Arabidopsis thaliana: one gene and its partner. The protein of the gene in region 2 interacts with the protein of the main gene of each other region in a pairwise test. Each region holds a gene or a part of one and is shown on either strand. Other genes may lie near its edges.

Evidence for each region. The genes of interacting proteins can lie anywhere in the genome.
Region 1: the proteins of SIP1;2 (region 2) and AT3G26110 interact in a protein complementation assay, tested with the Arabidopsis thaliana proteins (one large-scale study listed by BioGRID).

What each region holds. Positions count from the first base shown.
Region 1 is NC_003074.8:9,539,220-9,543,610, forward strand, and holds AT3G26110 (Anther-specific protein agp1-like protein), read left to right. Parts: upstream 1-2,263; 5' UTR 2,264-2,353; coding exon 2,354-2,740; 3' UTR 2,741-2,945; downstream 2,946-4,391. Other genes in the region: AT3G26100 (Regulator of chromosome condensation (RCC1) family protein), read left to right, coding at 206-590, 688-930; AT3G26115 (Pyridoxal-5'-phosphate-dependent enzyme family protein), read left to right, coding at 3,082-3,156, 3,306-3,614, 3,702-3,744, 3,824-4,153, 4,267-4,391.
Region 2 is NC_003076.8:6,054,029-6,061,043, forward strand, and holds SIP1;2 (Aquaporin-like superfamily protein), read right to left. Parts: upstream 4,341-7,015; 5' UTR 4,241-4,340; intron 4,189-4,240; coding exon of another isoform or gene 3,745-4,188; intron 3,550-3,744; exon of another isoform or gene 3,341-3,549; intron 2,673-3,340; exon of another isoform or gene 2,406-2,672; 5' UTR 2,380-2,405; coding exon 2,083-2,379; intron 1,705-2,082; coding exon 1,429-1,704; intron 1,329-1,428; coding exon 1,170-1,328; 3' UTR 1,042-1,169; downstream 1-1,041. Other genes in the region: NAC088 (NAC domain containing protein 88), read left to right, coding at 3,745-4,188.

The sequences.
Region 1 (4,391 bases), on a different chromosome or scaffold from region 2:
CCTTTTTTACACTTTCTTTTCTACTTTAGACCAGTTCAACAATATTATAGGTTACAACAAATGTAGTCATATTTGTATGGTTAAACTCTTTTGACAAAAATAATTTGGATCCTAAATTTTTTGCTATGTTTCTATGGGTCATGTGCAATAGAACACTATGCAAATGTCCAACAGCAGCACTGACTCTGTAGCATGCTTATTTTAGGTCTGTTTACTCAGTTGGTTGCGGTTTGGGAGGCAAACTTGGTCATGGGTCAAGAACAGATGAGAAGTATCCTCGGGTCATCGAGCAGTTTCAGATATTGAATCTTCAACCTAGGGTAGTTGCAGCGGGTGCTTGGCATGCCGCGGTGGTAGGTCAGGATGGAAGAGTGTGCACTTGGGGTTGGGGAAGATATGGATGTTTAGGTCACGGTAACGAGGAGTGTGAATCAGTCCCTAAGGTTGTTGAAGGTCTAAGCCATGTCAAAGCAGTTCATGTCGCAACAGGAGACTACACTACTTTTGTGGTCTCAGACGATGGTGATGTTTACTCGTTTGGCTGCGGCGAATCCGCTAGTCTCGGTCACCATCCATCCTTTGATGAACAGGTTAGTGATTGGCCATGGCCTCCATTGTTTCTTTTGCTTACATTATATGTTCTAAACTTATGTTTAGTCGTATGTCTGGTTTGATTTTTTGTTGCAGGGTAATCGACATGCAAACGTGCTAAGTCCAACGGTAGTAACATCGCTAAAACAAGTGAACGAGCGGATGGTCCAGATAAGTCTAACGAACTCCATATACTGGAACGCTCATACATTTGCGCTCACGGAATCGGGGAAGCTATTCGCGTTTGGTGCAGGCGATCAGGGTCAGCTTGGAACAGAGCTTGGTAAGAACCAAAAAGAAAGGTGTGTACCGGAAAAAGTGGATATCGATCTCAGCTAGCTAGCTGACTTATGTGGTTTGGTTGGTAAGAAACTACGTTTGACATCAAGGAAACAAAAACGCAAGAAAATTTGCGTTTGCTTTTTATGTTCATAAGACTTGGAAGCTTGTACAAAAAGGGGAATAACATAAACTTGTCTTTAACATTTCATTGTATAGGGTTTTTAGATTATTCTAATTGTTCATTGGTTAAGTTTTAGGTTATGTTGTTAATAATTATCAAATAATTTCATTAAATCAAATTATTGTCAGATTCAATTTCTACCAAATTTTTATTTTATTTTCTGTTTTCATATTTGTTGGGTTTACATCTATATATACATTTTTGCAGCCATTTTGTGATTTACATTTATATATACATCAATAAATCATGGAGTTGGAACTTATTTACAATGGTTACCACTGGCTTATTCAATGCGAAAATTAACTATCAAATAAAAGCAAATCTTATTCAAAAGAATATGCTCTTATTCCATGGCCTAGTTATTTTTGCCAAAATGGTTAAAATATTTAAAAATTAAATAATTATTTGAAAGAAAACTTTAAATTGATTTAAATTATAAATCTTTTAATAAAAATATTAATAAAAAAATAAAATAAAATAATTTCACCGAACATGATTAGATAGTAGGACTAGATGGTATGACATGTTTATAATATTATAATATATAAACTTTATAACAATTAAATAAATATTTGAAAGAAAACTTCTAAATTGATTTGAATTAAATATTTTTTAAATTAAAGTATTATTAAAACAAAAATAACAAAATAATGTCTAATTTTACTGAACAGGGTTAGTGGTAGGACGGGTTTGGTCGATAGTATTACGAGACGGTATACCACAAGTGAAATCCATTAGATATGTTTAATTTCATTGTGCATGATTAGATGGTATGACGGGTTTTGATCGATAATAATACGAAACGATATACTACGGATGAAATCCTAGATATGACAATTAAAATCTATATATATATTATCTTAAACACTAAATAAAGCAAACAATATTAATAAAACAAATATCTACATATACATTTTATATAACAAATTTTATTAAAAACCTAGCCCCGCGGTATACCGCGGGTCAAAATCTAGTTAGAGTACTAATATTCTATCGAAGAAAAATCTAAAATCCTATTTCTCAAATTGTTTTTGCTATATTTGATAAGATTAGAATTTAGAAAAAGCTTAATTAGGAGTAGAAGATAATATGTAATTTGCAATTTTTTCCTCAACCTTTAATATTTTTGGCAAAACCTCAAATTGCGTTGAGTCATCTTAGCACTTTGATCAAACAACTATATAAGCAAAGACCCTCATTACACAATTCAAGATAAATAAATAAAACAAAATACCCATAAAACATTTTTCAAAAAAAAAAAGTTTTTTGGGGATTACTAAATAACTAAATTAAAAAATAATGGCGCGTCTTCACCTAGCTCTCCTCCTCCTCTTCGTCGCTATCTCCGCCGTGATCGTATCAGCTGCTGAGAACGAAAAACCACCGTCAACCACCACCGCCTCAGCTCCCACCGCTACAACTCCAACCGATGGCATTGGAGGTGATATAGCAGAGGGTCCAGCTGATGACAATGCTATTGGAACAACTGACAACGACGATGCAGCTGTTACTCCCGATGATGCCAATGGAGATGATGAAGTGGCAGTCGCCGGACCTATTGGAAGCGATGCTTCGTACGCTAACTATCCTCCACCACAAAAAGAAGCTTCCGGAAGCGATGCCACCGTAGCTTTTGGCTTTGTCTCTGTTGTTGGTGCAGTTGCTGGATCGCTCTTCTTTTTCTAGAGTTGTGATCGGCGCGCGAACTTATTACTATTGTAATAAAAATGTTTGTAATATTTTCTTGTTTTAGATGTATTTTGACGATCCCTTCTTCGATGTAACATTGATTATATTGGGATGATACATATTTAATATACTAATATAAAGAAAGTTTTTTATTTGTGGGGTTAATATATTTCTGCATCTCATAAATTTACAAAAATAGCCCACAATATATGGGCCGTATTTTCTCACAGGGCCTAGCCCATCAACGTGTGAGTAAGCGCGTGTTTTTCACGTCTAAAAACCTCCATATCTTCTCCGCTAGCTCCGGAATAGAAGAAATTTTGCAGAGAGAAGCGTCAATGAAGGTCCAACGGTCAACTTTTTTGGCGGTGACCGGAAAATCAAATCTTCATCACTTTCACTCGTCTTCTCAGGTTCTCTTTTCTCTTCTCTGCGTCATCTAAATCAATTAAAAATCGTTCCTTTTGTCACTTCTAAGAATACCCATTTGCAATTGCAGAAAAAAATCTGAACTTTTTCTGATTTCATTGCGTTTTGGGGATAATGTCTTAATCAATTTCAGAGAATTCCCATTACTTCCGAGATCGATTCACGAGAGTTTGTGTCTAAATTACTCGATAGAAAATGGGGATTACAGTGTCCTGCATCTCCAATTCAGCAGATTAGTGTTTCTTCTGTCAAAGGAATCGATAAATTCTCCTTCTTGAACAACACTCGTCCACATCTCGGAGATGAAATGTCGAAGTCGAAGCAAGGATCTTCTTTTTACATTCTTAGAGATGATCTTTTACATCCTCTTGTGAATGGTAACAAAGCTAGAAAGCTTGATGCTTTGTTACCACTTGTTGAAGATCATAAAGTGACTGATTTGGTGAGAATGTGATCACTTATAATATCTCTCAACTGGGTTTTTTTTTGGAAATGGCTTAAAGTTTAGAAGTTTTTTTCTTGTGTGTAGGTTACATGTGGAGGTTGTCAAAGTGCACATACAGCTGCTGTTGGTAAAAGTTTGAATCTTTAGAGAAGAAATGGTATTGACTTTTGATTGCAATTTGAATCAGTTATTTGTATATCTTGCAGCTGTTTCTTGTGCTGAGAGAGGTCTAAGATCACATTTGCTACTGCGTGGAGAACAGCCTGATGTTTTGACTGGTTATAACCTTGTTTCAACTATGTATGGAAATGTTCAGTATGTTCCAAGATCGAGGTATGCGAATAGAGAGGAAATGCTAAGAACTTATGCGGATCTTGTTGCTGGGGAAGATGGTACTGTCTTATGGGCTAAAGACATTGTTGAGGGACGTGACACTATGAATGTTGCAAAAATGGATGATTTTTCGAGTATGAAAACTTCTCGTAGAAAGGTTTTGATCGTTAATGAAGGCGCAGGAGATGCTCTTGCATTACTTGGTAAAGATTGATTTTTGATATCTAGTTTAGGTAGTGGACCAGATCAATGTGGAAGAATTGACCAAGATTATTGTTTATGCATTATAGTTAACAAGGACTTTGTTATTCCGCAGGTATGTTTCGGTTAGTGCAGCATTTGTCACAGGATCATTTACTCGGGAAGAAGAGGCCGGTTAAATTTGTAGTGGATGCTGGTACTGGAACAACTGCTGTGGGTTTAGGAGTTGCAGCTATGTCT
Region 2 (7,015 bases):
CTCCGTCAACAGAGTCGGATGTAGGAGAATGGTTACCAGACTCCAGGAGCTCAGTGGAAGAAGGCGAACGGTAGCGTATCTTACCGTTGCCGTTGCCGGTACCGGAGGACGCCGTGGTCTGCGGCGGATCCTGTAACGGCTCCAGATCGACGGTGAATTTGGGAAAGCGGCTTGAATCGCCGGATTTGATCTGGAATCCGAAGCTTGTGTGTGCTTCAGATCTGAATTTTGTATGAGAGAGCGATGGATGCAAACAAAAGACGTTATGGGTTACGATTGCGGGAGATGGGTAACTCCCAACTATGTTTAACTCTCACAATGAGCTTACGCATAAATTAGTTAAAGTTGATTTTTTTTTATATTGAAATTAAACAGTAGTAATAAATACCAAAATATTTAATTAAGTACTTCCTCTGTTTTAATTTATTTGTATTTTAAAGTTTTTGTTGAAAAATAAATGCTATTCATTAATATTTTTTTGCAAAAATTTATGATTATTTATTTCTTTTGATTATATTGGTATTATGCAGAATATTTTGTTATTGGTTGCATATATTATTTTAAATAAAAAATGACGTTATAGTATAAAAAAGATAAACAATTTACATAATTTATGTAGTGTCTTAACTTTTTATGTGTATGCAAAATTCTTAAATTATAAATAAATTGAAACGAAGGGATTATCACTAATATTTTCACTAACAACTCCTAATTTTTCATGAGATTTTTAATTTGACTGTTTACTTTTTATATTTATTTTTTTTGCAATTTTGTGATAGTGAAACTTGGTTGAATCGAACTTGGTATAATTTGATAAAAATCAAAGCTAAGTGGATATCAAAACCATATAAACCTGAGCTGTATGAAATTCGGTTTGAGTACTCTGGTTAATAGAAGTTGTAAATCGAAAACATGAACCTTAACCGGATTAACCCACCCTGACTCTCCTTCACGTACCGAACTTAACCAATACTACTCAACCGGACGAGAGTGAATTTGTAGATTACGCACTAACCGAGAAAATGTGAATCCATAAATTTTAAAAAGAAACGAATTTTTTTTTTGGGCTATAAACTATAAATTAAGTACAAATACGACAACAGCATAAAACATACAACAAATGGGATTATGATTCATGAAATTTTTACTTAGATTTTTCCATTTTTTTCTCAAGCTTTCTTCTGTTTTTTCTGAACCAGAGGTGGAGCCGGAAATATAATTCTAAAGAGCATCGCAGATAAAATAGCTCCGGTGTAGGAGCTGATCCAATACACATAAAAATGGTCCCATGTGTTGTGAGACTTGTAGATATATGCCCACCCAAACGCCTGCATCACAATATATACCACAAGACTATATATCAAGATTCATTTCAAAATGTAATAAAAATGAATTAACAATTCTTGAGTAGGACGAGTATGAACTTACAATGGCAGGATTCATGAATGGTCTAGTGAATTTAGAACCTACGACAAACACCGATACGGTAGCGAGTGCGAGCAAGAACGTTTTCGCGAGCAGTTTTCGAGGACCTCTTAGGATAATTAGTAAAACCAAAAATGTAACACTAAAACTTAGGACCACTTCAGAAATAGCTCCATTGTGTGCACCAAATTGCAATGAAGGCTTTCCTCCAATCCTAGTCTTATACTTTTCCGGTATCATCTCCATGATCGTTATCGCACCGCCTGCCGCACCAATTGCCTAAGATATATAAAAGGTTACATTACATATGGAAACAAATATGCCAGTGGGTACTTGGGCCAAAATCTCCAATTAAAAAAGTTTGTACGTTATTCAAAAACACACATGGACCACACACAATAAACTTCACATAGATCCAACAAACAAAGAAAATACATTGCTCTAACAACAAAATAAATGTAAAGAAATTCATAAACAATGTGTAAGGATAAAACTTTAATAGATTCTTATTCGAAGAGACAAGACACAAAAGCAAATACTCATATGAAAAGATGTCACAAGTATATGAACAAAAATCTTTCTGTTCAGAACAAAATAAAGAACAAGAAGAAGAAGTTGGTTTGGTTTCAAAAGCTAGCTTAGATCATAAACACACACCTGAGCAGGAGATCTAATGGCCAAGGAGAAGAGAGAATCACTGGAAACACCGGCGGTATAAAACGCTGCGTTTCCACAAGGATTGAAGCTAGCACCACCAAGAACGTTTCCAATAACCGTAAAAATCGAGATGGAGACAAAAACAACCAACGTTGAGATCACAAGAGGAGCCCAAGTGATACCATGAAACCCTACGGCGGAAACAATCGCCGCCGTCTGTATCCCAAACGTCGCCGAGAGAATAACCCACAAAAAGGTTATCACCATATCACCTAACGCCGATTTTACCGCACTCATCGTAAGTATCGTTTTTTTTTCTTTTTCTTGAACGTTTGGGTTTAAGAAGATTGTTTTCTTCTTGTTGAAAAGAATATATTTATCAGTCCACTCAAAACTAATATTCTTTTTTTATATAGAAGGAAGATATGTATGACTATGAGTGACTCACCTAACGGTTAGCTGAATTTTGTAGAAATGTAGATAGACTATCCCAAATTTATATAGAAAACAAATATACTTTTGTAACTCTTAGAAAAAGATAATTGAAAAGTTTGTAGAGAAAAAGATGAAATCCTTATGCTCTGATTAACATAGAGGGCCTGTTTAATTCCAAAATGGGTTTGTTGTACAAAATATGTAATGAGTTCATTTCCATATTCTCTGCCACCTCAAATGACCATGGTTCCTTTTTGGTGAGCTCTGACTATGGAAAGTCTATACTGCTTTTTTTCTTTTTCCTTTTTAGTGTACTAGTGTACAAATTATAATGATCAAATGAATGTAGACACTATTGAGAACAGATACATGTAAAAATTAACTTATAGGAATTGAGCACAAACAAAAACCTTTTTTCTTTCCTTTTTCCAGTATATATTAGAGTAAAAAAAAATGATATACATAGGCTGGTATATAGTCAAGATATTATAAAAAAAGAAAAAAAAAGGACAGAACCTAAACGAGAAACATAATTTATGGTTCTGCAGAAAGTATACCCAAGAGGCCAAGACCCCCTCTTGGGACGAAAAAGAGAGAGTTTGTTGCATTTCTTGATATTCAAGTAATGAGATCGCATGTTATTATTAGCATAAATTCGTTAAACGATATTAGCTAAAAGAATTAGGATATGCTTATGAGCATAAGTATCAGGGGTCGGCCCTGAGATTTTATTGTTATCTAACCTTAGAACCCAAACTTGTGGTCTGTTTAGCCAAGGTTAAGAAAGAAAGGTTAACCAAACCATTGCTGACTATTGGACTCTAGATAGGCCCAGCCCAGTGCGAAACCATACAAATTTTTTTGTTTTCCTTTTGTATCTCCTCTACATAATTTTTTTTTTCAAATTGATGTGTTTGGAATTATTGGGCCACAAAATAAATGTCTTTAGTTTTTTGAAAAATTATTAACTATTATTCGTTTATTTTTTTGACATCATTATTATTCGTTTGGTATAGCCCTGTGCCTATTGGATTTATTTTTATAAAAATAACATGAAAAACTTGTAAACTTTCCTTTTTGTATATTTATATATATCCAAAACTAATCCAAATTAGATAATATTCAATAGTCGGTTCTCAATCATACTCCACTTTATATAAACCTCATTAGAGGAGGTTCATAATTAATTCTCTCTCATTTGACTCGAGGAAATTTCAGAAGAAGAAGATGATGCCGATGACTGAAGAATTTTACGATGAAGAGGAAGAGCTTGGTTGCTTTAGATTTAATCCTTCAGAAGAAGAACTCATACTCGATTATCTTCTACCAAAGCTTGGCTTCCACCAACCAAACACGATATATTTGTTAGAAGACAGGGACAACATCTACGCCAAAGAGCCGTGGCGGCTTAATCACACAGAGAATGATATCTTTGAACCTAACGAGTGGTTTTATTTCGTGAAAAGGACAAATCGCAAAGTTAAAGGTTGGAAAGCCACTGGAGAGTTAAAAGATGTCGTGTCGAAGAAAACCGGTGAAGTGATCGGGAAGAAGAGGAATCTCAGGTTCTACGTTGAAGGTGATGAGAGCAAAACGAGTGGTTGGACCATGAGGGAGTATTCTTCCATTGGCAATCAAAACCAACGTCTCTGCCACCTTAAAGGACCATGATTCTGTTTGGTGAATATCCCTCAAAAATATGATGATTATGGAAAACGATGACTTCTTTTTTTTTTTTTTTTTTCTAAAGGTAGTTACGTTACTCATCATCATTTTATTTCGTTGTGTTTCGTTTGAAGATTCTCCCGTATTCTTATATCTTTATTAGTATACACATTATAAGTCAAGGATCTGAGAGTCTCAATGTTTTCTTGTTTATTTAATTAAAGATTATTCAAGTTTTTTATGAGGAGCTTTGCAGCTCTTCGCATGTTACTTTTTTCATAGATAACAATAATGGTTTCCTTTTTTTTCCGAGGAAGACAGTACGTATTATTCATATAATGTATGAAAATATAATGAGATATTAATATTTTCTTGAGAAATATATGAAATAAAGCTTGTATCTAAACTCTAAATCCAAACCCTAGAGTAGAAGAGGTAAACATGTTTCAACAAACTTTTATGATAAGAACTTATCTTTTGTACGTAGTATATATCAACAAAAAAGGAAGTTTGCTAGTTTTCTTGCTCTATTTAGTCAATCTATAAAAGATGAAAAAAAAAAAACGATATTGCTATTTGATTTCCTATATTTTTGTATGAATTGATTGTAGAGGATTCTTCTTCTTCTGAACATATTGTAGTAATATATATATTTTTAAAGAAATATTAGATCGAATCTCACAAACGGAAGAATCTTTCCACGTTTTGAGGAATACGGTCTGTCACTGTCACCTACACATATGAAATATAAGTCTGTTTAGGGTTTTTAGCGTCGGTCTTCAGATTTTGTTGGAATAGGATGTCCTAAACATCAAAGATCTAAAAATTAAATCAAAATTGAAGAAAAAACCTTAGATACAGATCTATTTTTGGACATTTAGTCACTCTTTTGGACGCTTCTTTGGACACACAAACACACATACCTTAGACACATTTTTCAAACATTTAAAATTTTAGATCCTCTATATTTGGATCCCATCATTGGACAATGTCAAATATAAATCTAGTTCAAATGTCTATTTGTAAATTTTTTATTGTAAAATATGGATCCCATTGTTGTAGATGCTCTAAGGGAAAATACGTATGGTCAATTTTGTCAAGATTGAGAAAGAAAAGTTGAACCATATATAATATAACTTAACATTGATTATGTTTTTCTTGTGGTATGTTTTGTTGTTTTGTTGTTTTTAGTTGTAGTTTTCAGTCTTACTCTCTTCTTTGTTTGATTGTTTCCCTATTAATCGCTGATGCAATTCAAAAATGGTATAAATATTTAACGTTATAAATTAATATAAGGTGAGCAGGAAAGCTTTATATTTCTTTATTACTTGCAAGTTTCATTACTTGTATTTCATTTCAATATTTATAGGATAAAGTTTTATAACATAAAAAATATAGTAGCTTCAACTTTTGTTATTATATAGTCTATGCAAAACCATTTTAAACCGACAGATAAATGCACACAACTGACAAATTTGTTGTTGGTTGAGGTATGGATTGGCAGCAAAAAGGAACTTTTAAAAATGTGAACTTTGACTGTGAATCTCCCAAAAACTCCCAACTTCTTCACCGTCATCGTCAAGCTTACGCCAACCACTTAATTTATTACACATAGACTATCATTTTTCTAGAGACAACCCATAAACAATAAAGCTACTTTTTCAAATGTAACCCCCATATTCTTTTTGTTTTGCTTTGTCAATAAATGTAAAGCCATTTTTTATTTTGTAACTGAAACATTTTCATTACTATTTGGCTAAATTAGCTAAACTTTTCTTCAATCGTTTGGCTCACGCTTCTTTTTTTTTTTTTTTAACGCGTGCGTTTAATTAATCTAAATGCAAACCATAAATCTATAAATACTTTTTACTAAAGAGAGTCAGTTACTCAAATGGTGAATAGCTTTATCATTCAGTAGCTACAATTTACGGGAAAAGAAGTAATGGTATCCAAATATTTAATTTATAGTGCTCTGAAAGATTCACCATATATTGAAAAACTAGAAATAGAATTTTTCTATTACCATTTTAATTATGGTAGACAATGTAAAGCTCATGTTTTTTTTCTTCCCAAATCTTGAAAATGAGTTGTTTAGATTTTTAAACTAATAGATGTAGTATTTTTTCCAAAGTCAATAGCCATGGTTTAGTTACAGAAAATAAAATGGCTACGATTTGGTCAAATGATTTATGGCTTGTAGATTAATATTCGATATTTAAAATTACGAGGATCATAAACAAATGGATTGAATAGGACTATAGGAGTGATTCATTTTCTAATTTTCCCATTGGGAAAATAGCAACTAGGTCAACGACAAAGAAAAGTCAAGACTTGTTTATTTCTGAATTCTGACCGTATATCACTCCACGAGGCCAGGCTCCTGCAACTCAAACGTCTGGTTTCAGTTTGGACCAATAAATAATTTTAGAGTTTATATCTTCTAAAATCAAATGTAGAATTTGCATGGATTATATATGGAGATATTACTAGTTTAAGATATCCTATAATACCAAAGTCATCCTCAAATGTAAACACTGAACTGTTTCCATTTATTAGTATAGACTCATTGATTGAAAATAATGGAAAACTATAGATGATGATAAATAAGGAAACATCAAAGAGCTAAGTATTTATAATAGCTAATAATTAAAAATTATATCCATCATAAACAAAATTCAGGAATTCCCATGTGAAAAGAAAAGTGGACCGACAATATAATAGTCAATCATCACAAATAGTAAGAACGTAACATAGCGTTAGATGCGTATTCATATAACATTATGAAATGCTAACTGATTGATTTTTTCTCTTTTTAATAAAGTGGACATCTTTG